4 linked regions of the Mus musculus genome follow. The protein of the gene in region 4 interacts with the protein of the main gene of each other region in a pairwise test. Links are inferred from orthologs where the notes say so. Each region holds a gene or a part of one and is shown on either strand. Other genes may lie near its edges. The genes, in order: Txnl4a, Fhl3, Prkab2 and Rhebl1.

Region 1 (7,223 bases), on a different chromosome or scaffold from region 4:
ATCTGCCCAGTGGATTTATTTCCTGCAGCTATGGAACTTTAGAAAGCATGGGCAACAGTAATCCTTAGTCTCGTACAGGACAGGCTCCCTATTATTCTTTAAAAGCCCTATGGACATTATTTGTCTTGTATAGTCTTCTAAAATTTTGTCATGCATTTGTATGTATAACGTGTATATATATGTAGAACATACACGCCATCACATATGTGTGGCGGTCAGAGAATAAATGAGGGAATTGGTTCTTTCCTTGACTCTGATGTGGATTCTGTGGCAATGCCTCTAGTTGCTGAGCTGTCTCACCAGCCACAATGATTCTTTCAGAACACACCATCACATTTCATCCCTGAAGATATTAAATGCCATTTGTATGGGCTTTTTAGTATATTAAAAACACTCACCATTTTTGTATGTCACAGTATTAAGGGAATTCTGATCTCTAGAAGCACTTTTGTGACAAAGTACATTCCTACCCCATGGGAAAAGAGAAGGTTCAGGAAATAATCTTTCTTCAAAACTGCCTGAAGTCATTTTACAGAGGACCTACTCAGTGAGCACTAGATCTAAGTCTGCGTGCTCCCTACCACCGTTCTTCCTCAAGTACTGAACTCAGTAACTCCAGCATCACGGGAGGTGCACACTGCAAGCAGCAGCAGCACACTGGCTAAAGCAACATACTTTAGGGCACTCAAGTCCAGCCTGCACACACATGTAACTTTTACTCACTTTAAAACAGCTGGGATATCCAAACAGGACTCATACAAGATGAGGAAGATCTCCCACTATCTTCCATTTCTGCGGAGGGAGATTTTTAAATAGTTATACTGTTCTTTACATACTAAAATCTTAAATTTCAAAAATTTATGTTGAAAATTCCCTGGAGTTCCCAAACTTACGAATGTGTATTTTGCCATTACACTAAGGAAGTAGAACAACAGTGATTTTAATGTAATTCAAACTTACATTTTTAATAACTATACTAAAACATAGTATTAAAAGTTTATTAAGAGTATGGAAAAAATTGCTCAGTGGTTAAAGAGCTTGCAGGACCCAAGTTCAGACCCCCAGAAACCCATATCAAGAAGATATGATGGCCTACCTTAATTCTAGTCCTAAAAGATGGAAGACAGAGGATCCCTAGAGCAAGCTGGCTAGCAAGACGAGCCTCACTGGCAAGCTCAGTGTTAAGGAAAGACCTTGCCTCAGTGAATACCGAGGTGAAGAGTGACTGAGGAGGACGGGCACAGGACACCTGGCTAGCATGGTGGTACCAGAGTTATTAAGAGGAGCAAAAAGGGAGCTCATTAAGAATGCAATCACATTTTTTGGACAAAAGAAAATGCAAATTAAAAGACTAAAGGAAATATTTTTGAAGGAGACCAATGAACCCAACACCAAATACAGCGCATGTCTGGTGAGTGGGATGGCTGGCCTTGTCTGCACCTGAGCAGCACTGAGACAACAAGATAACAAGTACGGGAAACGCTTAAGTTCTGTTTAGCTGGGGAAGAGCAAAGGGCCTCAGACACAGCCCTCCTGACAGGAAAGCCCTCCTGACACTGGTCAAACCACCTTCAGGTCAGAATAACTAAAGGACAGCTGTCCTCAACTAAAGCAGACTCAGCCGTGGACCTGCTTGTAGTGGTGCTTCAGTGAATCTCTGCATTTGCCTTCTGAGGGACCCAATCACCTCATTCGTACCTCTAGCCTGACTGACAGGACAGCCTGCACGCCTGCAGGAGAGAGACTCCCAGAGGAACAGGGCAGGGCTGGCTGAGAAGCTGCTCCTCAGAAGCTAATCTGCACCGAATCCCCTGGAGGCCTCAGCCCAGACCAACCGTGTTCCAAGCTTCCAGAGAAGCACTCGCAGAGACACCTGTGATAACTGGATGTCAGAACTGCCCTCCACCAGCCTCTCCGCAACACGGAAGCAGAAAGCCAAATGCTGCTGCTTTTCCTTCACACGCACACATCCCCGTGTCTTACTCCAGAGAATGTCTTTGCTATGGTGACTATGGTTCAGTGGCAAGGCACCTGACCCTGGCCTCACTTATAGCTCAAGTAAATAAAGTGACAATCCTGTGGCAGACGTCATTTGAAAGCTAAGAACTACTTTAAGCCAGCAGGCGTTAGCAGCATGGGTGAGAAGGAAAATAGTTCCAGCATTTCTATCAGTGTTAACTCTTCTTTGACTTTCAGGCTAAGCATGGTGGCAAACACCTTTAAAGCTAGCACTGGAAGGTGGAGACAAAGGCAGATAGACTTGTCTGCAGGGTCTAAAGACATATAGATACATGTCTACACAAGTTCCAGGGCTATGTAGGGAGGTCCTGTCTCAAATAAATAAGAAAGTAAATAAAATAATATTGAAATTACTTATCATTAAATATTACAGTCTTTGCCCTATTGTTACAATCATAAAAAAGTTAAGTCATCCTAAAACCGTGAAGAGGAATTCACAGAATGAACCTCCTAATCGTGTAACAGTGCCTGACAATTACACTTCCAGTGTCAGGAAACAAGTACTGCCACCCTGCTTATAAATATGGAAAACTAAGAACACCAGTTCCACCCAAACTCAACTTTCAGCATTTGAATAACTGCAAGCTACAAATCAAGTAACTTACAAAGAGCTTGAGGCTCATCCCAGGACTTGGGAGGAGGCAGGGAGAAGGAAAGAATGTGCAAGGTCCCTCTGGGCGACACAGTGAATCCGGTTTTCTTCTCTCCCAGAGAGGGGGTGGGGGCTAAAAAGTCCATCATGGTATTAACCTAAAAGTTCTGCTTCATAAATACAATAAATCCATAAAATATTGAGAAAAGGCCAATAATGTTAAGCTAAGCCGCCTAAGTAAGCTCCAACAAGCTCAACAAAGCTTGCAAAGTCACTCTGTTGACTACACATAAGGTACATTGTTTTTCTTTCTTGAGACAAGGTTTCTCCGTGTAGCCCTGGCTGTCCTGGAACTCAGAAATCCGCTTGCCTCTGCCTCCCAAGTGGTGGGATTACAGGCATGCGCCACCACTGCCCGGCGATACATTGTTTTTGAGACCCAGTCTTATACAGTCCTGACTGGCCTAGAACGATCAGTGCCTCAGCTTCTAGAGTGCTAGGATTAAATGCATATGCCACCGCACCTGGCCCTAGTAAATTTTTTAAAACATCATCCACAGTGGTGCCCGGTAATCCCAGAACTCTGAGACTGAGGCGGCGAGTTTAAGGTCCGTCTGACTATATATACATATAGATACATACACAAGACCTATCTCGGACCATCCATCCCCTTCCGTAATCACAAAAAAACCCCCAAAATTTATCATCACTTATTTTAGGAGGAAATCATAAATTTCTTCAAATTTTAAGAAACTCTAACCATTTCTAGCACAAACCTTGCCCGTACATGAACCCCGTCTCTCTGTGGGTCTCTGCATGGAACACAGGACTCGGGCTTGAAATCTGGCGTCCAAACCGCCCTGCGGGGCCCAGCACGGCGAACACTGCACATGAGTTACCTTTTCGGCGATGCTGTACAGAACCTCGTCCATCTTCATGCAAGTGGGGTCCCAGTCGTGTCCGAAACGAATGACGACCACGCGGTCCTCCTCCGAAAGGATGGCCTGGTCTACCTGCCAGCCATTGTGCAGATGCGGAAGCATGTACGACATCTTGAGCGCGCCTGCGCGGCCGGACGCCGCGAGCTACCTGTGGGTAGAAAGAGCAGAGGATCGCGACCCCATCCGGACCCCAAGAACCTGGCCTGCACCCCAGACTCTGCCTAGGGCCCCACTGCAAACCTGCAGGCCACCGCACCCCAAACCTCCACTGCTCGCCCCGGGCCCAAAGCCCATACAGGGCCTCGGCTCGCACGGGAACCACACCCTCGAATCGCCACCTCCGCAGGGAACACACCCCGGCAGCCCCTGCCCCATGGGGCCACACCAGACGACCTCTAACCTCGTGTGAGCCCACGCGGCCCAAACACCGCGTCCTCCACCCAGCACCAGCTCCTCCCGCGCCGTCACGCGCTGACGCTTTTCGGCGCTGCTGCGCAGGCGCACGCTGGCGTCATGCGCATGCGCGGGGACGTCGCCGTCGGCCTCTTGGTCCCCACCCCACCCCTGGTCGCCGCCCAGCGAGCTGGGCCTGCGCAGAGCGAGCCGTCGGTGAGCGCGTCGAGCTCGCCTTCTTGGCGACTCGGTGCCTCTGCCGAGGGGGCGGGGATACCCGAGTCTAATCTCGCGCTCAGCCTCTTTAGCAAGTGCTCCAGAGCACGGTCGAGACCCAAGCGTCCCCACCTCGTAACGCGTCTAGTGTTGTGGGGTAATTTGTCTCTATTTTTATTATTTTTGTCTTTTCTTTTCCTTCTTTCTTTTTTTTTTTTCGAGACAGGGTTTCTCTGTGTAGCCCTGGCTGTCCAGGAACTCACTCTGTAGACCAGGCTGGCCTCGAACTCAGAAATCCGCTTGCCTCTGCTTCCCGAGTGCTGGGATTAAAGGCGTGCGCCACCACGCCCGGCTTATTATTTTTTTATTGTGCTGAGAAATATGGCAAGTCTTTGGCCAAACTTCAGCCATGCTCCTGATCTTTTCCATAGGCCTATCTATGCATTCTTCTGTAAAATATCTTTCTGCATCATCAGACACTCTTGGATATAATCAAGTTTTTGGACCTGTACCTTATCCCAGAGGTCAGATCTCCTTGGCTTCAGCCATTATCCTCCTAATTTCTCTTTCACAGATCCATTCCTCTTCACCCATAATGTTCCACAATTGGTAATTGAACATATTTTCCTCCCTACAAGACCACGTTGCAGTGTTCCTGAACCATCTTCTTAAGCTATTACAAGTAGGAATACTTTTCTTTACCATATCTGTGTGTGTGTGTGTGTGTGTGTGTGTGTGTACGCATACGCGCGCACACACACGTGTTTAAGTTTGCCACTTTAACCATTTACTGGCATTAAGTACAAGTCACCACTATCCCTCTCCTGATAAAAATTACAAATTAAAAAGCAACGGTTGAGGAGATGACTCCAAAATAAAAAGCATTTGTGGCTTTTCATGAAAACCCAGGTTCTGGAGCTAGAGAGTTGCCTCAGCAGTTCCAGAGGACCCAGGGTTCAATTCCCAGCTATCACATGATGGCTGGCTGTAATTCCAAGATCTGACACCCTTACTCAGACATGCATGCAGGCAAAACACTAAGCCACACAAAATAAAACAAGACCCAGACTCGATTTCCATCACCCGTATGTCAGTGGGCAAACGTCCATGACTCCAGTTCCAGGGGACTCAGCACACTCTGGCCTTTTCAGGCACAAGGCACAAAACAGTGCACTTACACATATGTGCAGGCAAAACATTCATACTCATACATCTTTTTTTTTTTTAAGTTCAACTTCATCCTTGGATCATACATAGTATGTTTGAGGCCATTCAGAAGTATATAAGATCCTGTCTCAAAAATAAATAAAAATAATTTTAGGGGCTGGAGAGATGGCTCAGTGGTTAAGAGCATTGACTGCTCTTCTAAAGGTCCTGAGTTCAAATCCCAGCAACCACATGGTGGCTCACAACCATCTGTAATGGGATCTGATGCCCTCTTCTGGAGTGTCTGAAGACAACTATGGTGTACTTACGTATAATAAATAAATAAATCTTTGGGCTGGAGTGAACAGGGCCAGATCAAGCAGGAACAGAGAGAGAAGAAAAGGGGTCTGAAGACAGCTACAGTGTATTTACATATAATAAATAAATAAATCTTTAAAAATTTAAAATACTTTAATACAAATATTTATTAACATATACTGTAGATATACTCTAAATATCATCAGGGAGGGTCAGACAACTGGAACTGAGACTACAATCAAATTCTAGGGAAAAGGTCACTCTGAGAAGAAAAAGTAATTGTTTCCCATTTCCTTATCCCTGAAGCTTATGGTAATCACTAATCTATGTTTTGCTTGTAGATTGACCTATTTTAGACATTTCAATAAATGGAATTATATGTAGTCCTTCCTAGCTGGTTTATCAAGTCTAGATTGCATCATGCTCTAAAGTTCCACACATCAGTATTTCCTCTTATTTTAATATTCAGCTACACAGATACACCATTCTGTACTATTTCTCCACTAGCTCGTTGGCATTTAGGTTCCTCCCCCTTTATTAAAAATAGATTCTTTTCTCACATTCTATATCCTGATTACAGTTTCCTCTCCCTTTATTCGTCCCAGCTCCCCCCCCCCCCAAATCAGGAGCTTTGCTCCTTCTTCTTTCTATCTCTCATTAGGAAAGAACCAGCTTCTAAGAGATAGCATGTAACCAAATAAGACATAAGGTGAAACAAGAGCAGTCACATCAAAGTTGGACATGAAAAAAAACTAGCAGAAGGAAAACTCCCAAGAGAAGGCACAAGGATCAGAGAATCACTTGTTCACACACTCAGGAGTCCCATAAAAACACTAACCTGGAAGCCACAATAATGCACGCACACACACACACACACACACGCACACGCACACGCACACGCACACGCACACGCACACGCACACGCACACACCCAGAGGACCTGGTGTAGATCCAGATCCATGCAGGCACTGTGCAGGCCGCCTCAGTCTCTGTGAATGTATATGATCCTTGCTCATGTTGATTTAGAGAATTTTGTTTTCTTGGTGTCCCCTTCCCCTCATATGGTCATGCCTAACTGCTTCCTCAAGTCTGTCTCGCTTTCTTGGAGGACTGGCACCTCTGTGAAATGATGCCCAAGTCTGATCCCTGGCCCAGCATTGTTAGTAAGTGCTTCAAAGGACAGCCAAGACCCAACTGTCTCCAACTTGTTACACACCTCATATTGTGTGAGGTAGTGGTTTGCCTTTAAACTACTTCATCTTGTGTGAAACAGTGATTAAGGCCATGTTTTATGCCAGATGATGCCATTTTCGATGCAAAGAAAGAAAGGCAGGGTGGACTTTGAATCTTATTTGTTTTCAAAGATACCAAAAACTACCTGGCACCAACTATAAAGCAAAGGCTAAGAAATAATGTTTCTATAACTAAAAAAGAGATCAGATGAAAAGCTTTCAAAGTAAATGGGTAGCATATGGGCATATTAAAACAGTCTCAGGAAAACCAGGCCCAAGAATGAGTGTGCAACACCCCTGCATTGAGCCCCATAACAAAGAGGACTTCTGCAACCGTGACAGCAATGGCTCCAGCCCCGCCTGCCA
Region 2 (7,203 bases), on a different chromosome or scaffold from region 4:
TTAGAAAGCTAACAGCAAGCAGGCTCATGCACCAAGCCATCTCTCTAGCCCCCACACCCCTATTGCATTTTTAAAGAGAACTGACTCCAGAGGGTTGTCCTCTGACACAAGCACACAGGTACACTAGCACTAGCATGCACATGTGAGCCCACATACACACAAACCACCCAGATATACACCATATATATATGTATGTGTTTATTGGATAATTACATGAGTTTATATATGTGAAGTATTTAGGGAATGGTGCAAACTGGAAGCTCAGAGTTTTGGCTCTTGGTAAAGGCCTTCAATAGCACTTCAAGTCATAAAAAAAAGAAGAAAGACCCCAAGATGAAGCACCTTTACTGCTCACTAACAACTCTTCCTTTCCTGAAGGCTCTGCCCTAGTTATAGTTTCTATCGCCGGGAAGAAACCATGACCAAAAAGCAAGCTGAAGAGGAAGCGGTTTATCTGACTTCTACTTCATCATAGTGCATCACTGAAGGATGTCAGGACAAGAACACAAACAGGGCAGGGACCTTGAGGCAGGAGTTGATGTGGAGACCATGGAGGGGTGCTGCTTACTGGCTTGCTCCTCATGGCTTGCTCAGTCTGCTTTCTTATGGTATCCAGGACCACCAGCCCAGGGATGGCACCACCCACCATGGCACTGGGCTGGCTCTTCCTCCATCAATCACTAATTAGAAAAATGCCCTACAGGCTTTCTTACATCCTGATCTTATGGAAGCATTTCTCAATTGAGGTTTCCTCCTTACAAACAAACAAACACCTCTAGATTGTGTCAAGTTGACACAAAACTAGACAGTACAGTTTCCCACCATTGTCCCCACTTCAGGTCAGGACAGACAGACCCCTCTCGCTGTCTACTCCAACCAGGAATGATAGTGTTTCCTGCATTCCTGTACATAGAGCTCCCTAGACCTGGGAGACAAGTCCCAGAGGAAGGGCTCACCCTCAGACTGTCTGATAGTAGGTGCCTGGCAGGGAGTGGCAGGGGGTCCAAATGAAAGCAGTGTGTGACATTCATCCCTCATTTACTGCAGGTCAAACACTGGAGTAGATACTGGGAATGCAGTAGTGAAAAAAAAAAAAAAAAAAAACCGACCCAACCTCTGCCCTCGTGGCATTTGCAATTTAAGAATCAACAACATTTAAGCAATCCTTTAACTCTGAAAGAAAACCTGGCCTAGAGGCTGTCTTAGGACCTAGCAACCAGACCCCTGATACAGAAGGGAAGGCGCCACACCAGCCTTGAAGGGTCTTAATCCCCAAAATGCTAGCAAGGCTGGATGCAGCCTTGAATTAGGGGGGGCCTCTCTGGACATCTGAATCATCCCCGAGACGCAAAGGTTATTACCAGGGTTAGTTTGTTGTCTCTTGTTTTGCAAACAGCACAACAGAGCTCCCCCACCCCCACCCCGCCCTCCAGATCAAGGCTATTTATTCCTAGTGACAAGCCTGAGGATCCCAAGGGGGGTGGCCTCAAGGACCTGGATGGGCCTCGTGTCCCTGGCAGACACTAGTCCTCCCTTCCCGGAATAGGGTAGAAGCTGGAGGATCAAAAACTGCACAAGTTCCCTCCCTTCTTAACCACCCCTGCCTGCACCAACCACTCGCACTGTTCACACACCCTCTCGAGAAACCCAAAGCCAGGGAGGCCGAGGATTAGGGTCTCCCTGAGCCTCAAAGGTCAAAACTATTCCTGGGCACTATAGAAACCTCAGTGCCAGGGCACAGTTGAGGATGGGGAGGTTGTTGCCTGTGCTTTCGCCAGTCGCTTATAGAATAAAGCCCTTTGAAATTGAGGAGGATAAAGGCTCGCTCTCTTTAGCCCAAGTTTCTAGAAAAAAAAAAAAAACCTTGATCTCCGCTGGTAAGGCAGAATCAAAACCACGCCTCCAGCCGGCTGGATTAAGGCCTCCTTCCCAAGCTAAGGTTTAGTGTAACATCTGGGGATGAGCTAGAGGGAAAAGAGGAAGGGAGGTCTGGTCTCCAGATGGACTCTAGCTAGTCCTAGGAGCTCTGCACCCCTGGCCTGAGATCGCTTCCAGCCGTCCCCCGGGGTCCGAAGGGCGCAGGAGGCGGGTTAAGCTGCAGGGGGCGAGCAAGGAGTGGTCGAGGAGGTCAGAGCACCAGGTTCGACTGGGCTGGGCTCGCCGCAGGCAGGAGGGGGCGGGGTCTGGCCCTTGCGGGCGGGTTGGGGGCCCGGGGGCGGGGTCCGGGCGGGGCGGGCCCGAGCACTTCCTCGGAGGCTTAGGGCCGCGCGCCCACTCGCCCACACAGTCAGTCGCAGCCGGCTACCTCGCCGCTGCTCTCTCGGCCCCCCTCCGCCTGGCCCACAGGTAGGAGCCGCCGGGCGATCGGCTCCCGCCCCACCCACGCCGCGCGCGCCCAGCTCCCGCGCCCGCTTCGAGGTGAGAGTCCCCCGCCCCAGCTGCGCTCGGACCAGGGTCGCTCTCTGGGCCCCTCACCCCTGTCTTCTGCTGGGGCATCCCGAATTCGGGACCCCACGCGCCTGCACGGACCCCACCGCTCCGCGCCTCCCGGCCGGGCGGGGACCGCCAGAGTTGCAAGGGGTGGGGACCAAGTTTGAACTAGAAAAGCTACAGAGATCAGCAGGGTTGGAGAAACTGAGGCTCTTAGGGAGCCTGGTAGAACAGACAAGGACGCGCGCCCCAGGAGGCTACCGGGACCACTCCAACGAGGGCAGAGAATGGCCGGATGAACTTCTCGAGGCACGGCGGGGACCCGGGTTCTGGGGAGCATTTTAAGAAGCAAATGTATGGCCCCAGGGAACTCATTGCTAGCACCCTTCCCAGGGCCTTGGAGGGCCCCGAGGCTGGAGCTTGTTAGACTAGCGCTAAATCTGCCTCCCGGAGGCCTAAAGAGACTCTCAGGTCAGAGACATAGAGACGTCGAGAGAGACCAAGACTTGGATATGAACAGGGATAGAGATCCCCAGAGTGGAGGCCCTACTGGGACACAGCTCCAGAGATACAGGAACACCTTCACCCAAACACAAAGACGGGTACTGACTAAGCTCAAGGGTACTGAGAGGTACGGAGTGGAGGCTAGAGTTCGCTGAGGAGAGACACCTAGTGTGTTCACTGACAGCTGCCCCAGGCTTGAAAGGGTGGAGGCAAGGCTAGGGGGAAATTGACTCTTAGCCAGCCCATCCCCCAGGAGGCAGAGGACCTGAGGCTGTAAAGCTGAGCTGAAGAGAGAGAGAGAGCCCCATACACACACAGCCACTAAGACAGCGCCAACTTATTTTTAAACTCAAATCTTGGACGCTCTGCTTCAGCCCTAGGGGACTCTGGGGTGAATGAAATGTCCCTCTCCTGTTCTCGGAGCAGCTGCAGGATCTGCTCCCTTCGCCCTAAACTGCTTTGACTTCCAGGCCCTGTGGGGAAGAGGGGCAGTGGAGAGTTTGGGATTGGTGCCTGGTTGGGGGGGGGCTCTAATTTCTCCCCTAAGTCTCTTGTCAAGGGGGAGGGGTCTTCTCTGAGTTACAGCTGTGGGGTCTGGCCAGGGTCCTCCTGGACTTGGGATGGGCGGGGGGGGGGGGTTGCGGGAGGCGGGGAAGGGGGATATACTAAAGGGTTGAGCAGTTGGCATGGGTAATTGGAAAGACTTCTGGGTGTCTTCCAATGGCAGGCTGGCAGCCGGGGAAGACAGCCAGCTCTAGTGTATCTCCTGTTCGCCCTCCCTCCCCCCCAAAGGATGACTGCCCCTTCCACCACTACCAAAGCATTTCTAGGCAGAGTTCCCCTCTGATGGATAGGACACTTCTGCTCCAATTGCTGAACAGCCTTGGCCATGCCCCTAGCCTGCCCCTGGTATCTTGTACTGAGCTCTAAAGGGGACCTATACTCTGTCCTTCCTTTTCGTAAGCTGAGATGCAGTGGTCGTGGGGTGTGTATTTTGTAGATGACAAGGAATCTAGCAAGTATGTGCTCCTGGGAACTAACCATCTCTAAGGTCTTTAAAGTCCCCCCCACCCCACCCTGGTATCCCACTGGCTGGGCTAGAGCTTACGATGTGTACCAGTGGTTCCCTCAGACTTCACTAAGACTCCCAAGGTCACATCCCAGGTTAACTCTTGCTTCGGGCCTACCTGAGACTACCACTGTTTGGCTCCAGTAGGAGTTGAGGGGCTTGTTGTAAAAATACAAGTGACTAGCGTTTACTTACAGTGATTAGCGTTTACTACAGACTTATTACAGAAGCTGTCATGGGGATTATCACATTTTAGCTTGACAGCTGTCCTAGGAGAGGGAGGTAGTAATAGTATCTCATTTAACTGGTTGCACCTATACTCTCAGGGAATGAAAACTGTATACCCAAGGTCACAGGATTTCAAGTCAGGTGTATTTTTTGTGACTCAAGCAAGCTGTTATCCACTGGACACCATACAGAAAGATATCCTGCCACTCAGCTCTGAGAAGTTCACTCTGTGTGTGTGTGTGTGTGTGTGTGTCTTTTTTTTTTTAATATTTATTTATTATATCTTAAGTACACTGTAGCTGACTTCAGACACACCAGAAGAGGGCATCAGATTTCATTACGGGCGATTGTGAGCCACCATGTGGTTGCTGGGATTTGAACTCAGGACCTCTGGAAGAGCAGTCAGTGCTCTTAGCTGCTGAGCCATCTCTCCAGCCCTGTGTGTGTGTGTGTGTGTGTGTGTGTGTGTGTGTGTGTGTGTGTGTGTGTCTGTCTGTCTGTCTGTCTGTCTGTCTGTCTTACTTAAGTCAGGTATGGAGATAATGTGTGTTCGTGGAAATAGCAGATTGGGGTCATTTGGAAGAGCCACTGTCTTCTCTAAACCACACCCTCCTACCCCCCCACTCCTCTACCCCTTCACCTCCCCACCCCTCCAGCCCCCTCACTCCCCCACCCCCCACCTGCTCCCAGGAATACAAACTGTCTCCTAGCTCACCCTTTTAGTCCCCCAGCCTTGCCAGGCATTGTGGGGGGAAGGGGGGTTGGGAGGAGATAGGAGACAAGTGGGCCTTGGTGCCCTTCACTCTGTCCTCATTAGAGACATAGGGACTGGGAGATTCTGGGAGGAAGCAGAAGACACACCCATACCCTATTTGGGGTGCCTCATCTCATTGTGGTGACTGGCTCTGAGGGGGTGGATCCAGGGCCAGCCTGGGCCTGGGAAGGTAGCTGCTGCCGCTCCTGCTAGCCAAGCCCGGAAGGAAGGGCTCACAAGTGGACACATGGCCACAGGCCACCTGTGTTGCTGTCTGTTGTCCAGTGGCTAACAGCCCAGGCAGTCCTCAGATGCTGGGCCAGAGGAAACCAGGACCTGAATGACAGGGGAGAGAGAAGGAGGGGCTCTCTCCACCCTTCAGCATGACCGCTACCTGAGGACTCTCCACTTTGAAGACTCCCACTTTGGTCGCCTTATGTCCTGCTTTGGGTGTGAACCAGGTGTTCTCCCTCCTTGTTGAAGGGAAAGTTCAAACTCATAAGCCACAAAGAGGTGAGCCCTTCAGGTTTGGGACATCTGTTGCTGCCTGAAGTCTGAACTCTAAGGCAGACCAAGGTGTTTGGTGAGAACTTCCTGTATTTGCTGAGCGGGTATGTGTGTGTGTGTATGTGTGTGTGTAGTGTGTGTTGCCTTTCCTTCATCTTAAGCCAGGGCAGCCATGGAGAAGGGGGATGGTAGGTTCCTCTGTGCATCCCCCCCACCCCTTTTAACTTCCTCCAGCCTCCTGTGCGACAAGGACAGCATCCCCACCCTGTGGGCCCTGCGGGGATCTTCTTCACTACCCAGCCCTTTGAGAGCTTGCTTCAAAGTGGAGTAGGGTGGAGCTGGAGAACTCTGACTTTGGGGCCGGGGGAGACTGGAATTGGCCAGCACAAGAGACTGGGAACCCCATTTCACTGCCCCCCCATTCTTCTTGCTCCTGTTCCAGAGGCGGCAGTGTTGGTGACCTCATCCCACAAGCATGCTTTGTTCCTGAGAAAATGGAAAGTGTCTGAGGTTTGGTGGGGGGCTGGGAGTCTGCAGCGACAGTGCTCAGGACTCCCCTTGTCTTACTCCCCCTTAAGAAGGGACCCCACTGGGGCTCCTGGGGCTCCTGCCTTCTCAGCTTTCACTACTCTGACCTCAAACTCTGAGAAATCAGGGAAGGTGGGCAGAGGCTGCCTGTCCAGATTTAGGGGGCTTTGCAGAGCTTGCAAAGGCACCTGGCAGGAGGTGGGCAGGGGACACTGCCCTGTCCATGTGTCTCCTCTTGCCTTCTGCCTCTCCCCCCCACCCCCCAGGGCATCTCAGTTTTTTCCCTTTTTTCTCCCTCTGGCTGGCAAAAAGCTGACATCTGGCCCTCCTGCTGCCACAGCTGCAGCAGCTGTCACAGCCAAGACTGCCCGGGGTTGGTGTGACCAGAGACACAGCAGAGGTGGTAGGGATGAGGATGAGGGTCCAGCTGGGGAAGTTTGGCTGTCTCCAGCTTGCAGGGTTTCCTTCCTGCCTGAACCGAAGCTGAGCCTTGCAAGTTCTTGCTGCTTGGCTGATTCTCCTGGGAGGGGAGGCCCGACTTCTCGCACGAGGAGCGAGCGCCATTCATCAGACAAGCATCTCTCTAGCACTCCACTATTTCCTGCATCGGTAGCAAGTTGGGGGGGGGGAGCACACAGAACACAGCTCATTCCACATAAAACTCCCCAGATCGGAAGTCTAGATAAATATCCCCTAATCTAAACTCCTATGACTCCTATCCTGGGAGGCAGGAGGTGAGAATGCTGTCTATATGCAGTAGGGTTGGTGGCCTCTGTCCTGGCCTTTGGCACCCTAGGGACAGTCCAGAGAATTGAAGCAAACCTTAGGCTAGGGCAGGAAATGAGTCACTGACCCAGGAAAAGCCCCCTCCCCCCAGATCAGCCAGGGCCTAGATAAGAAAACAACTTCTGCTTCCTGGTTTTTTTCCTGACCTCTTCCTATCCTCACAGTCAAATATAAAAATAAACATGGAAGATTCGAGCATACATGGAGCCTACTGCCGACTACTCTAGGGTCCCCAGAGCAGTTCCGCTTCCCCATCGCCACATGCTCTGACCTGGCATCTTCTATGCCCCCCCCTTTTTTTTTAATGCAAAGAGGTTTTATCCAGAGCTGTGCTGCAGTCCTTCTAAGTGAACTCTGCCCATCTTCCTCACAGGGCTCACTGGGCACCGCCACCATG
Region 3 (7,227 bases), on a different chromosome or scaffold from region 4:
AGGGTACTCGTCCCATAATTTGGTGAGCCTTGTCTGGAAAATGACGTTACATAAAGGGTCACTCTGACAACCACTTAAATCATTCACTACTGCTATGCCAGCAATAAACTGACATTATACCTACAATGTCACAATGTATTTCGCTTTAATACAGAAATCAAAGCAAAAGGATTAGTGTTTTCCAGACTTCTTGCAGACAAGCAATGGCTTGAGAAGCAGAGTCCCGAAGCGTGGACACACAATGCTGTCAGAAGCTCCTGAGGCCCGCTCTCTTCCTTAGGGAAGGCAGCCAGGTGTCTGCTCCTGCACACTGCACACTCAGCAGAGACGCCTGTCCTCACCTCTTTATCAGAGGGATCTTGGTGCTCCAATTGTTGAAGGACCCAGAGATGAAGACCTCCTTGCCTCCTTCAGACCAGCGGATAACGGTGGGCCGGGCCTGCTGGGCGGGCTTCACAGAATCATCCAAATCCTGCTGCCAGGGTACAAACTCTTTGTCCCCGGGGAGCTGTAAGAAGGAGTAGGTCATCCCTAGAATAAATTATGACCCAAGGGTTTTTAAGAGGTCCCAAAGGTTTTTAATGGGCATTAAATTAGGCGTCAACTAAAGTCAGACAGCCCAAATTCAGCAACTGAATCAGGGTATGAACAAACTATATTAAAGAACATATGGCACACATCATTCTCCTTGCAGAACCTTTGCATCACCCTTCAAAAAAACCAAACACCTCTAAATCCTTCCTATTACAGGCCTCGCTTGTATGTAGCAATTAGGATATGCTCCTGAACACCTCATAAGAAACTGTAAGAAAGTTAAGTATGGTTCTTTAAAGGAAAATTAAGCCAGCTATATGTTTTTCTGAGGCAAACTGTTCTCTTTCTATTACAGTTAGAGATACCAAAATTCCTGAGTAACTAGCACTGCTGTTTCAGCTCCTTGGTTATACAACAGGGCATTCACATTTTAAGGGCTGGAGACGGACGGAGTTCAGTGCAGAGCACTTTCCTCCCGAGCACAAGGCCCTGGGTTTCATCTCCAGCACCATCATCCATCAATCGACAGGCATTCAGAAGCCACGCCACTGATCCGGTACCACTGAACCGGTGATGAAACCTCCCTTGCTTACCTAGGCCAGGTCATAAAATCCCCTCAGCAGGATGCAGGACATCCTGGAACTCTAGGAGCACACGACCAAAAGCAGCTTCCTTGAGCAAAAGCAGATCCGTTACTAAATGGGGTTTGTAGGATTCTGAGAAAAACAAATCCCTTAGTTTCTTTCCAAGGCCATCCTCAGGACAGCCGTCGGCCAACTGCAGCCATGAGCCAGACTGCTTTTACTAAGCTTTCGTTTGGGAAACAGCCACCCACGTGTTTATCACCCACAGCTCACTGCTACCGTGCAGACCTGGGAAGTGAAAGCAGAGGGTGTAACCCACAGACTCTCAATTATCTATTATTTGGCCTTTTACAGAAAAAGTTTGCTAATCCGTCCTTTGGGATGGCTTCACTGACTGGTAAATAAGACTGCATGGTACCAAGTCAGGCATTACAAATGAAATGATGAGGGCTAGAGTAAGAAAAGTCTAGCTTATTTATTTGGGATTTCCCCTGTTCTTTCCAAAATGAAAAAAGTTTACCTTCGATCTGTTTCTCGATAGTCCTTATGACTACAGTACAAATATAGACCAAAGCAAGTGTGAAAGAAAAGGGAAGGGACTTTTACATTATTCAGGGGACTGGATTAAGACAAAACGGTGGTCTCTGGAACCTCAAAGCAATGCCCTGGGGCTGACAGTTGCACTGGGAGTGCTTACATATGGCTCAAAACAACCCTCAGAGTCTCTGAGTCCTCATAGGATTTTGGGAATATATATTTTTAAAGCCTTCAGATAACAACACTCTTATCACATTACAATAAACAAGGAAAAACATATTTTATCGTTCTCTAGGGGTCAAATTTTCACTCCAGTCCAGCCTGGCAAGGTTTTTCCTGCCTCTGCCTCTGAAACAGCTGAAATCACAGGTGTGAGCCGCTATCATATCAGCTTTAAACGGTCACCTTTGAGGAATGTCCTAAAATGTTAGAAATACTATTTGTTGACCTGTTTGAAATCTGTTTCAGAGTGGCTGGTAGAGGAGAGGCTTGGATCCCAGAGGAAGTCTTTCATGACCTTCCAGCACCGTATAAACAGGGTGACATACACACAGTTCATTACACAGTTCATTTTATAAGTGTGTCAGATTTCTCGTAAGGTTTTTAAAGCATTCTTGGGGGATCCTGTCATACAAACAGGGCTGAGAAGCACTGACTAAGACTATTGATAACCCTGACCTTTGAAGCAAAGATGCCCCCAGCCCCACCGTTCCTATCAATTACGTTTATGACTTAAGGATTTTCAGTTTAGGATTTGAAAGCTCTAAACTATTAATATGCCTGGCTTTGGAGCAAAGCCCTTCCACTTATGACATGACATTTCTGTGGTAGGAATGACTGCTGCTGACTTGCAGAAAAACTGTTTGCTCCAGTTAAACCATCAGCGAAATCACCACGAACAGCAGCAAAGCAGCATTCAAAGTACAGCCTGCAAATGTTTAAGGAAATTCAGTGTGTGTGTGTGTGTGGAGGGGAGGGCATGAACTATAAAGTTTTCAATCTGATAAGACATGGGTAATTGTTTGAACTACTTTTTTCATTTCACAAAGGGCAAGATATGAGGGAAAGAATGTTCTAGAACAGGCCTAAATCCACACAGAGCAGCCTGGCTCTTATTCAGGACACCAATTACTGCAGTCACAGTTTGACTGTACCCAAATCCTGAGTCATCAATGTAGGAATGAGCAAAAATACACGGCCTGCCTGTCATCCTAGATAAGCTTTGGAGAAGGAAATCTAGGCTGAGTCCAGGGCCCAAATGAGGAGGAATCCTAGAGGAGAGGAAACAGGGAAGAGGGAACCCCAAGAAATGGCCGGTTCAATGACGCACTTTTCTAACGGCGTTCTCAATCTCGATCGGAGAAAATAAGGTGTGTAATTCAAATTTCATGTGCCATCAAAGTGGCAAATAAAACTCTGTTATCCTAAGCCTCAGTTCACTGGGAAGTGATAAATGTCCACCACCCCACCCCATCCCCAAGGGCCGGGTTTTCTTTTTCACTCCAGAAAGTCTACCGGGAGAAATTACATGTATTTAATGCTGACATTTCTAAGTGATTAGGAACATTAGGGTAGCAATCACACTGCTGTCAGCTCCATCTGGCTCTTCTTTTGAGTGACCAAAAGTGGCCTCTGGCTCCAAGTCTATGGAATTGAGAGCTAAGGCTTCAGGTCAGTAGAGGGTGGTTTTGAGCCCCGGGCAACGTTTTGAAGTACTTCTGAGGAGTGAAGTAAAGTGACTTGCTCTCCTGTGCAAAGCTCACAGCTACATTTTAAAACGGCACGTTTCAAAAAAAGATCTGAGCCATTAACCAAATGATGTCCTATATGGATCCCCAAGACTAGGGGAAAGTATTCAAGTAATCAACTGATGGCAGCTCAGAGCCATACAAAGGTGGACGAGGATCGAAGAGGTGATGCAGAACACGTAAGAGAGAGCAAGAAGGAGACCTACACAGAGACATTTTCAGGGAGAAGTCATCTAGCTATCTTGAGGCCAATGTGAGAAACTGAGCCCTTTTCAATAGCTCAGACAACGCACCCTCCGAAGTTTCCACCCGCGCTCACAACCTATACATCCTGCAAGCTCTGGAAGAGGGCAACCTGCACGTAGATCCAAGGATGGGGCTGGCAGGGGATGGGTTTTTGGTACTCGTCCTAAAAGGTTGGCCCACAGATTACTCTGAGCAGCAGGAAAACAACTCCGCGCCCCTATCCTAATTTGAGGTAGTATCTAGGAGGAATTAGCACCCAGCATCTCTATCCGCGGAATAGCCTTCTAGTTAAAAAGCCCATAACCCTTGAGAATGAGGAGGAAGAACCAAGAAGGGCGGAGCTGCCGGCAGCCCCGCTACCTCACCTTGGAGTCGGGCAGGCTGAAGACGCTGGGGTCGTCCGTGCTCCCCACCATGATCTTGTGCTCCTTTCCCGGGCCATGGCCGCCGCCCTCAGCTCGAGCAGCTTTGGCTCCGTGGCGCTCCCCGGACACCCGCTCGCTGGTAGTGTTTCCCATGGCTGCAGCTCGAGTCGGGGGCAACCTGCCGCGGGGAATGACACCAGGCGGGGAACACCCCCGCGGCTGCGTCAGGGGCGCCCCGGCCCCGCCCCTGCGCCCGGGAAGGGAATCCCCGCCGCAGGGGACCGCGCCCGGGGTCCCCTCCCTTACCCGCTTCACGGACGCCTCGGCTCGGAGAACCGGCTCCGGGAGCCCTCGCTGCCCCACAGCCCCGGTCCCGCACACCCCCCACGCCGCTCACCTCGGGCGATGCGCTCCGGGCTCGCGTGGCTACACGCACGCCGGCTGTTCGGCGTACAAGGAGACCAATAAAGTTATTGAAATTGAAGCCGCGCCCCAAACCAGCGAACCGGGTTTCCTCCTAAAATGGCTACAAGGCCCGCGACGAGGTACCGCCTCTGCCTCTGGCCCCGCCCACCGAGCCTCTTGTTCCGCCCCCTGCGCTCCAGCCCCGCCCCCTCCTCAGCCTGGGTCGCCTGCCTCTCTAGCCACCAGCACCGCCTCTGTGGTGGGTGCGTGCGCAGCTCCGGCTTGGGGCGGGGCCGAGGGTGGGGTCCGGGTCGGGATTAGGGCTGTGAACTGTCCGCCCAGGGCTTGATAGTGGGGCGTCTTGTCTTCCTAAGCAGTTTGTCTATCCATGGGGCACGCGGTTATTAGAAAAGCCGAATCCGAGGCCTCCCCGTGCCCTAGGTACAGAATTAGAATCTGCACTTTTAACAGGATCACCTCAAACGACTGGACAGCGGTGCATAGTGGATCCACATTTTCATATTCCGCGTACGCCTCTACCAAGCAACCTTTTTAGTTGTCCCAGGAGGCATGAAATAAAAAGTAGGACAGAGAATTGACTAGACACGTGATGGCAGTTACTGCAGAAGACTTACTTCTATGTGATGCCCAAACTCATCAAAGCGGTGTTTTCTGTTACTGTGATTAGCTGTGTGGATTAATGCAAACAGCTAATGAGTGAGAGCACAGGTAGGCTGGGAATATACTATTGGACTAGCGTTTTGAAACCAGTCGGCTGGAAGTGAAGATAAAATAGGCTGATGGAGGGCCCAGTGGGGTCAAAGAACTCTGGACACAGGAGAGACTGAGTGAGCTGAGACAGTGAGAGGTGTCCTGTGAGAGTAGCGTGTCTGCCACTGAGGTTTCAGTGGTCTTGCAGTCATTAGCACTGGCAGAATCTTAGACAAGTGTGTAGATCGGTGAGATGAGGCCGACCATAAAGCCATTAGAAGTCATAAACCCTGATGAGATGGTTCAGTGGTTAAGAGCCCTTACTGTTCTTTTAGAGGACCCGGGTTTGGTCCCAGCACCTACAAGGTGGCTCATAATCATCTGTTCCAGGCGCTACAACACCTTCAGGTGCACATACAAACATGTAGGCAAAACACTCAAACATAGATTAACATTTTAAACAATGAAAGTAATTACTCAAAAGGAACAGTGAGGTAGCAAAGAGAGTTGGAGGTCTACCTTAACATTGATTTCCTTCCTCTTTACTGAAGCACTGACTCTAACCTTAGGATGTTGTCTGTCTCCACAGAGATGCATTTCTTAGCCTCCCTAATAGATAGATAGGGGGAAATGGTAAGTAGAATTTCTCCGTTTCTCTTTCTTTGTGTATAGGGTGTCCATAGAATGGCCAGAGCTCCAGCAGCCACTTCAGATCACGAGGTAGTTAAAAGCAGTGGAATAAAAAAAGGGAACTGAGCCGGGCATGGTGGCACATCTTTAATCCCAGGACTTGAGAGGCAGAGGCAGGCAGATCTCTGTGAGTTCAAGGTCAGCCTGCTCTACAGAACCAGTTTCAGGACAGCCAGAACTACATAGTGAGACCCTGTCTCACCCATCTCCCCCACAAAAAGAAAAGAATGGAAAAGGAACCATGCAGCTATGGAATCATCTCATAAATGATATATTTTAGACTTTTTATATGAAGGGGAAAGAAATATCAGTCTTGTTAGACCACTGTTGACTATCACTTTTCTATTAAATATAGCTGAACCTCATCCTACTTAATTAATCCATTGGATTGATGGAGTACTAATTGCATAGATATTAACATCACCTTCAGGAATGACTGTGTCTATAGACACAGCATTGAGTTAGGTGCTAAGGTCTTCACTGAGTGAAGGGGAATAAACGGGTCTATAAATAGCTACAGCCAGGAGAGGTAGTGGGTGCTTCAGAGGGGCTGGAGAGCTGGAGAAGCAAGAAGACACAGCAGCAGGCGTTCGTGCATGGTGAGAATCGAGGAGGAGATAAGTCCTGTTTTCTGTTTTAAGATCTTGACTTTTTAAAACCTGCTTGATTGAAGAAATACGTTGTATACCAACACCTGTTTCAAACCATACAGTGCTTTAGCCCTCAGATTCACATCAGTGGTCTACTCGGGAAAGTTTTCTGCAAAAACAGTCGGCCACCAAGTTGGTTCTAAGCGCTATTACTAAGCACTCTTTAATCTCCTTTTAGGAGAGTGATGTTCACTATTCAATTTAATCCTTTAAAAACGTATTCATGCTTTTTACCTCTCTTGTTAAGTATGTTCATTCAATTAATTATCATCAATGTACTGAGGCCCCACCATGCTCCAGGCACTACACTGGGCACTGGGAATACAGATTAATTGCAAGGCATCTGTCTTAGTTACTAACTCAGAGAGCGATGAGGCAAAGGAATCTGTCTTTGTGTCATGTGATAAGGACATCCATCAAATGCGAGTGAGGGCTGGGCGCTGGTTGGTACATGTCTTTAATCCCAGCACTCCAAGAGGCAGCGACAAGTGGATCTCTGAGTCTTCAGAGTGAGTTCCAGGACAGCCAGGCTACACAGAAAAAAACCTGTCTGGGGAAAAAAAAGTGACTGAGGAATCGAATCTACCAGAATCTACCAGATGAGAGGAGAGTACAGAGGTCACATTGGGGTCAGGAAGCTGTTCTTGGGAGGGTGGGGGTGGGGGGATAGGAGAGGAGCTGGATCTTGAAGACTCGTGGGCATTATTCAACTGGAAAGTGGGAATTTATTAAAAACACTACAGCAGAGAAAAGTGCA
Region 4 (7,462 bases):
GATCTTCAGGACCCACAAACTTAGATGGGTGGGGCAGCCCAACAGATCTTGGTGAAGTTAAAAAAAAAAAATATAACAAACAAAAAAGAAACATCAAAATAGATGAAAAAAGGCGAGTGGTTAAGTCTTAGGGTGGGGTCCTTAGTGAGGAGAAAGACAAGAGTGAATACTAAATACTGAAGCCACCAGTCCTCAGCTCTCTCCAGACACAAACGTCAACAAAAGATTTCTCAGTTTATTTGGAAATATACATTGTTACCCCAGCAGACAGTTCTACTTCAGAACTGCCAAGGAACCAAACACCCTTACCCAACCAACACCCAAAACCTACCCAGGAGGGTGGGTCCTGGGTAATCAATGCACAAGACTCATATCCCTACTGTACAGACTGTAAAAATTGGTTTAGAAAACCAAGGAGTTAGAAGCCAGGGTCCCTGAGACATCTTGCCCCTTTGTAAACATTAACATCCAGGCTACCAGAACCTGGGATGAGTGTGCAAAAATAAGAGTGCCATACTGTGTGCCCAGAGGACAGGGGACATAGTTGGCAACCATAGCAGTTATATCCTGAGGGTCTGCCCCACTGCTGCGGGTTAGACAATGTCTGCGGCAGAAACAGGGCAGTTATTCCATGCCAAGAGTTCACATAAGATAGCATCGGCGGTCTTGTCGTCCATAAGAATTCTCCACCCGGGCAATCTCCTGGATGACTTTGATGAAGACATCTTGAGTTAGCTATAAGGAATAAGATCAGCAGTCAATCAGTTGGGTCAGAGCCGATACTATCCAGCCCCAAGGCAAACAGCGCTTCCTAACTATCCCCACCACCAATCAGCATGTAGGAAAACACGGTTAGCCTTGCCCCTGGGTCCAATCTTTAAGTTCAGCACCTGATTATCCCGAGCAGACGACTCCATAAACATCGCACCCCAGGACTCTGCTAGCTTCTTCCCTTCAACTGCCTGCACCTCTCTGGAAGCAGATTTGGAACACACCAAGATGGAAAGCAGATAGCAACGTCGGCAAGTTCTCTGAAAAATCTCTAGGGTTTAGATTCCTTCTGATGATTCACAACCCCTCCCCCAAGGTTTGAGGAGGTGAAGAAAGAGAAAATATACGTAAACAAAAGCATGATATGTAAATGCAAAACTGAAATATAAATTATGATAGGATTATCCTTAAGTGACCTTCAAAGTTAGGATGAAAAGCTCGGGGACCAGCTAGGCACGGTGACCCACCACTACATTCTCAGCGAGCACTATTTGGAAAGCTAGAGGACCTGGAGTTAAAGGACAGCCTGGGCTATGTGGTGAAGATCCCGTCTCGAAAAACCAATCAAGATGTAAAATTGCTTCAGTCAAGCATCAGAGCTGGGAAGGACTACAGCTCGATTGATCCCTGATACAAGTCACTTTCCATTGCCTGAGCAGCGGAGTCTTACCCACCTCTCAGGAGAGAGATCTGCCTTGTTCCCCACAAGCAGCACCGACAGCCTGGGATGACAAAGCAGTTGCTACAGTTATGCTTGTAAGATCCCCTTCCCCATCCTCCATGGACCCCAGCTACTCCAACTCCATCAAGGCCAGATGATTCCCAAACAAGCCAACTGTGATCTAGGTCTAGCCTCCTTGAAGAGTTCACTCACCCTTTCGCTTCCTTCCACACCCTCAGGTCTCTATGTCCTAAAGCCACTTACCGGGTTTTACCGTGGCCTTCGTGTAGCTTTTGGTACAGGTTCTTAACGATCTGAAAGCTTCAAACATAAGAAACAGAGCTAGGGTTTTAGTTCTAGGATAACTGCCCAGTCTTGACAAGCCCCCACTCAAAAACCTCCGTGCGTACCTGCGCAGAGAGTTAACCGAGTATACAAGAACGTAACCATGGACCCCGATGATGAGCGAGTAGGGCAGAATGCTGTACTCATCCTAGCAGCAAACAAAAACGTGAGTATGTACACCCATGCCTTCAAACGGCGTAAGCCAGTGGCATAGCACACGAGTGACCCTCCCGGGACATTCCTCGCTCCGGTCTCTTCCATCAAACAAATTTTTATGAAGTAGCTCCACTGAGCCCTGCACACTGCTAACAGCTCAATGCCTTTCTTTTCATACTACATCCCACATGAACCCCCCCCCCCCCACACACACACACACTACCAGACTTTATAATTTAGGGCTGAACTATAACATTTGGACACCCTACCGCAACTGGTACCTGCCCTGCTGTGTCCACCAGATGTAGGTGAAACTCATCTTTGCCAAGAGTCACTGTCTTGCTGTAAGCTGGAAAAACAAACAAAGAAGAAAGCTTCTTGACTGTGAGGTGCTTTGTGGTCCCAGTGATGTGTGTTCCGATACAGTCCTGACCCCAGGAGTGACACACTGACTTACTGTCTTCAGCCACACCTGTGGTTCTCAACCTTCCTAATGCTTGATCCTCAACCATAAAATTATTTTTGTTGCTACTTCATAGCTATGATTTCGCTATCGTCGTGAACCGCAATGTACATATTTTTGGAGGTACAGGGTTGCAAATGGGGTCTCAACTCAGAGACTGAGAACCTCTTGATCTATACTATCCTGGTCTAGAACGGCACAAACGCCACGCTCTAGACACTAGAATGGGACTCCCAGAGCTGATTAGTGGACCCTATAAACAAACCATCCTCTTTGCAACAAAGAAATCTCAAATTATGGAGTTTGAGAGGGCACCCAGTCTATCTAGGTTCCATCCCCTTCACACTAAAGAAAATTACTCATGCCAGGTGGTAGTGGCGCACGCCTTTAATCCTAGTATTCCAGAGGCAGAGGCAGGAGGATCTCTGAATTCGAAGCCAATCTGGTCTACAAAGCTAGTTCTAGCAGCCAAGGATACACAAAGAAACCTTGTCTCAAAACAAAAAACAAAGTGGTGGGGGGTGTTGGGGGGGGGATGCAACTACTTACTATTCTCCACTGTAGGATCGTAGCCTTCCAGGAACTCGCCTTCCACAAATTGATGTGCCAAAGATGTCTTCCCTTTAAGGACCAAAGATTGTTGTAATATAGTCATCCATCCATATTTACACCTTTTGTCCTTTCGGACTGTGGCCAGGACCAAAGGGCACCTCACATCAGCATCCCAGATTGTGGGAGCTCCCAAGCAATGCTTACCCTTTGTCTTTTATTACCATCATCCTAACAAGTAGATTTCCGCGACGTTTTGGTGATTCGATGCATTCAGTGACGCTTCAGGAAGCCCTTTCCTGCCCCACCCCATCTCACCCTTTGAAAAAGATTCCCCGGGATCTAGTGCACCAGGCCAAGGACACTTGCAAGTGTCTAGCCGGCAGAGATCTCCACCACACCTTCAAATACTGATCCCACCCCCGCTCCCAGAGAGAGCAACGCGGGGACGACTGGTGCAACCACAGCCCGGTACACTTTAACCCTTGCGCGCTCCTCTTCCAGCATCCCTCCACCCTTCCATCTCCTGGCAGCAAAACCGACTTCTTCCCAGGCCACATTGGGTCCTCGTGTCACATCTCCGCGACAGCGCGCCTCTTCTGGCCACAAAGCAACCGTGCTCTCGGGAGGGCGGGGACTTACCTACGGAGCGGTACCCTAGGATGGCCACCTTCCTGTAGCGCACCAGCGGCATGACAGGACGCCGCCCCGCGGGGCTCGTAGGAGTGCGGGCCGAGGGAACCCGAAGATCAGCCGAGGTGCAGGCCGAGGTGGACTCTGGGAAGAAGAGTAGCTCGCTGAAGCTACGCCCGGCAAGCCAAGGAAAACCAAAACAAGCCGCGCGCCCGGGGCAGCCCACGTGATCACAACACAGCGGCTGTACGCAAGGGAGCTGGGCGAGGGGGGGGGGGCAGGGGAGGGGACAAGACGAGCGGGATACCTAGCCGGGCGGCTCCCGGCTCCGCCCCACATGCTGCTCCCCATTGGTCTATTAGAATAGAGGAGGGCGGAGTCACCCACAGGAGGGAAGGGCGGGCCTCACGTGGAGCGGGATCTTTGGGAGCTGCACATGCGTAGACCTGAGCCTGTTCATTCATAAAGAAAGAGAAAGGAACCCGGGGTCCTAGAGGTACTTGCTGCCTAGCCAAAGAAGCTGGGACTCTCAGATGGAAAACACCTGTTGTGAAAATACAAAACGAAAAGGAAAATATCTGTTGTGGTTCGGCTGGAGTGTTTGCTTTTGAGACAGGGTCTTACTGGTGTAACCTGACTGGCCTACAGCTCTCTCTATAGATCTTGCTGGCTTCAAACTCACTGGGATCCACTTGCCTCCTCCTCCCCAGTACTGGATCAAAGGGGTGCACCACTACACGTGGCTTTGGGCTGGAGGTTTTGTTGAAAAGATTCTAGGCCCTTGAAGCACGGATTTAATCCCAGCACTCGAGAGGCAGAGAAGGGCATGTCTCAGAGTTTGAGGCCAGCCTTATTGACAGAGTGATTTTCAGGACAGCCAGGGCTACACAGAGAAACCTGTTCTCAGGAGTGGGGGTGGGTTCTAGGCCTCTGATTTCACAGAACTGGAGTTCTTGTTGTTTGGGAAATTATTTCAGTGTGTATGCAGTCTTAGGTTTCCTTATCATACCCAGGACACTCATTTATTCAACAAATACTGACTGAGGCAGGAGGATGCTGAGTTTGAGACTGGCCTGGGCTATACAAGATCAAGCCACCCAAGACCTTGTCCAGAAAAAGGGAAAAAGGAAAAGAAAAGCATACGTCTATAATCGAAGGATTTAAGAGGTGAAGACAAGAAGGTCAGGAGGAGTTCAAACTCATTACGGCCTCAGCTATGTAGTGAGTTTGAGCCCAAAAGACCTTGTTCTAAAAAAAGAAAAAAGGCTGTTGCCCATGTTCCGCATGCTCTGGACAAGACACTGTTGCAGGCTTGCTAAAAGAGATAAACATGGCATCTGTTTTCCTGGCATTTAAATTTATTCAGAGTTTGGAGCTGCATGAGGCCAGCCTTGTTTGCAGTCCCCAGAACACACACACACACATGCACACACACACATATGCACAAAACCTTAGGGAGACAAGTATGTATGTCATGGACAGCTTCAAATTAACCAGCGGGTTCATCCCGTTGAGGTAGAACCTAGGAAGTTGGCCGCTGGTGGCCGGTGTTCCTAAGGCTCTGCTTCACTCTGGTTTGTTTGGTTTTTGTTTTTTGTTTTTTCCAAGACAGGGTTTCTCTGTGTAGCCCTGGCTGTCCTGGAACTCACTCTGTAGACCAGGCTGGCCTCGAACTCTGCTTCTGCCTCCCGAGTGCTGGAATTAAAGGCTTGCGCCACCATGCCTGGCTCTGCTTCATTCTGGACTCTTCATGCCTGCTTTGGTTTGCTGTCTGCCGTGAACAAACTCTTCCATCACACGCACCCACTATCCGTGAGACTGCGCATGAACTTAGAGCTAAGTGGTCATAGACTAACCATATGAAGTTCTGAGCCAAAAAGGAACCTCTCTCTCCTTTTCAGTTATTTAGCCACGACAATACAAAATTGTGACTTAACGCTATGCTTCCCAGGACTTCTTTGTTTTCCACGGCTAAGAATTCACCTCCTTCTTGGTACTTAATAAACATCATTATCATCATAAACAGCGTTGGCAGAGGTGGCACACACCTTTAATTTCAAGACTCATGAGTCAGAGGCAGGCAGTTCTCTGCATTCAAGGCCAGCCTGGTCTTCAGAGAGAGTTCCAGGACAGCCAAGGCTACACAGAAAAACCCTGTCTTGAGAAAATAGTAATAATAATAATAATAACAATAACATCACTATTACTTAGTGGCTTAAAAAAATATGGAGTTTGGGGAGATTTTTATTGTTTTTGTATTTCATTGTTTTTTTAATTGGGTTTAAGTTTTTTGAGACAGGATCTCTCTATATAGCTCTGACTTTTCCTGGAATAGGTTGGCTTCGAACTCACAGAGATCTCCCTGCCTCTGCTTCCCTGTGCTAGGGTAAAGGTGAGTGCCACAAGATTGGCTTCCTTGCCTTTGTTTCTTTGTTTCTTTGTTGGAGATACTATGTAGCCCTGGCTGGCCAAGAGCATTCTTTGCCATAGACCCTAACTAGCCTGGAACACCCAGAGATGCACCTGCCTCTCCTTCCAACTGCTGACCCAGAAAAACAGTGTATTCTTTCTGGGAATCTGGGGTTTGAATTAGCAGCTCTCTTGTTTCCTGTCCTGTATTTGTTCCTGGGGTTGAAGTCTCAACTGAGGTAGAAAGTCCAAAAGGACCTTGAGTATCTGGGCCTGTGTGCTGACTATTGGCTGAGTCAGACTCTCTGTCTCTGTCTCTATCTCTGTCTCTGCCCACCCCCCACTCCCTTCCTGTGTCTTTCATTAATGAGTGATGGAGCCTGAACTTTGAGGCAGAATGGGATAAGAAAGCAAGGGCCTCTTGGGCTTTGGGCCCTGGAAATGGCAAGTAATTGGTTTCTCTAAAGGAAAGTGTTCAATCCAGGGACTACAGCCACAGCTTATAAGAGTTCCCAACTTGCCTGAGCTACATAACAAGGCCTTGCTTCCCCCAAAATAATGAATAGCCAGCCTCAAATTGTCCAGGATGAGCCTGAACTTTTCTTTAATTTTTTTTAAAAAATGTATATGGGTGTGTTGCCTACATGTGATCCCTTGGAACCAGAGTCACAGTTGTGAGCTGTCATGTGGACACTGGGAAGTAACCCTGTTAAACTTGGAATCCTCCTGCCTCTGACTCCAGAGAGCTGGGAGGATCTGTGCTGCTAATGATTGATTGACTCCTGGGCTTGAGGCTCTACCAACTGAGCTATAGTGCCAACCCACACTGTTGTAGCTAGAGAAGCTCTCCTGGTACTCAGTCCATCTCCGTTGCTGCTGGTGTCTTTTTTTTTTTTTTTTAAAGATTTATTTATTTATTATATGTAAGTACACTGTAGCTGTCTTCAGACACTCCAGAAGAAGGAGTCAGATCTCGTTACGGATGGTTGTGAGCCACCATGTGGTTGCTGGGATTTGAACTCCTGACCTTCGGAAGAGCAGTCGGGTGCTCTTACCCACTGAGCCATCTCACCAGGCCCGCTGCTGGTGTCTTAATGAGAAAACAGCTGCATCCTTTCTCCCTTTTCTCACTCCAGTCTTAGCTACTGCCCAAGCAAGGCTCCATTCAGTATCAGGGGTATTTTTTCTTCTTCGAGACAGCGTTTCTCTTCTAGCCAAGTTGGCCTCAAATTTAATTTTGGCAACATTATGGTTTATTGGCAGTCCATATGTTTTTTTGGTTTTGTTGTTGTTGTTTTTTAAATAATTTTACCATATAGCCTATGCTGATCACAAACTGAAAATCCTCTTGTTTCAGGCTCCCAGTTGTTAAGAGTTTTAAGCCACCACACCTGGCATCAAGTGATTTTTTTTATTTTTTTATTTTTTTAGCGTTTGAAGACAGGGGTTCAGCCGGGCGTGGTGGTGCACGCCTT

The links.
Region 1: the proteins of Rhebl1 (region 4) and Txnl4a interact in a two-hybrid assay, tested with the Homo sapiens proteins (2 studies listed by BioGRID and IntAct). The link is inferred for Mus musculus from reciprocal best matches to the Homo sapiens genes RHEBL1 and TXNL4A.
Region 2: the proteins of Rhebl1 (region 4) and Fhl3 interact in binary tests that used the Homo sapiens proteins (3 or more experiments, as listed by UniProt). The two-hybrid records come from large-scale screens. The link is inferred for Mus musculus from reciprocal best matches to the Homo sapiens genes RHEBL1 and FHL3.
Region 3: the proteins of Rhebl1 (region 4) and Prkab2 interact in binary tests that used the Homo sapiens proteins (3 or more experiments, as listed by UniProt). The link is inferred for Mus musculus from reciprocal best matches to the Homo sapiens genes RHEBL1 and PRKAB2.

Annotation. Positions count from the first base shown.
Region 1 is NC_000084.6:80,203,631-80,210,853, reverse strand, and holds the start of Txnl4a (thioredoxin-like protein 4A), read right to left. Parts: upstream 4,029-7,223; 5' UTR 3,953-4,028; exon of another isoform or gene 3,793-3,952; intron 3,701-3,792; 5' UTR 3,664-3,700; coding exon 3,511-3,663; intron 2,745-3,510; coding exon of another isoform or gene 2,625-2,744; intron 793-2,624; coding exon of another isoform or gene 754-792; exon of another isoform or gene 724-753; intron 1-723. UniProt on the Homo sapiens protein: Plays a role in pre-mRNA splicing as component of the U5 snRNP and U4/U6-U5 tri-snRNP complexes that are involved in spliceosome assembly, and as component of the precatalytic spliceosome (spliceosome B complex).
Region 2 is NC_000070.6:124,698,434-124,705,636, forward strand, and holds the start of Fhl3 (four and a half LIM domains protein 3), read left to right. Parts: upstream 1-2,265; 5' UTR 2,266-2,418; intron 2,419-4,963; exon of another isoform or gene 4,964-5,498; intron 5,499-7,179; coding exon of another isoform or gene 7,180-7,200; coding exon 7,201-7,203. UniProt on the Homo sapiens protein: Recruited by SOX15 to FOXK1 promoters where it acts as a transcriptional coactivator of FOXK1.
Region 3 is NC_000069.6:97,655,554-97,662,780, reverse strand, and holds the start of Prkab2 (5'-AMP-activated protein kinase subunit beta-2), read right to left. Parts: upstream 4,570-7,227; 5' UTR 4,412-4,569; exon of another isoform or gene 4,193-4,411; 5' UTR 4,168-4,192; coding exon 4,015-4,167; intron 532-4,014; exon of another isoform or gene 530-531; coding exon of another isoform or gene 509-529; coding exon 342-508; intron 1-341. UniProt on the Homo sapiens protein: Non-catalytic subunit of AMP-activated protein kinase (AMPK), an energy sensor protein kinase that plays a key role in regulating cellular energy metabolism.
Region 4 is NC_000081.6:98,877,563-98,885,024, forward strand, and holds Rhebl1 (GTPase RhebL1), read right to left. Parts: upstream 3,853-7,462; 5' UTR 3,640-3,852; coding exon 3,588-3,639; intron 3,018-3,587; coding exon 2,946-3,017; intron 2,283-2,945; coding exon 2,215-2,282; coding exon of another isoform or gene 2,203-2,214; intron 1,926-2,202; coding exon 1,843-1,925; intron 1,754-1,842; coding exon 1,697-1,753; intron 1,494-1,696; coding exon 1,446-1,493; intron 973-1,445; coding exon 891-972; intron 736-890; coding exon 643-735; 3' UTR 198-642; downstream 1-197.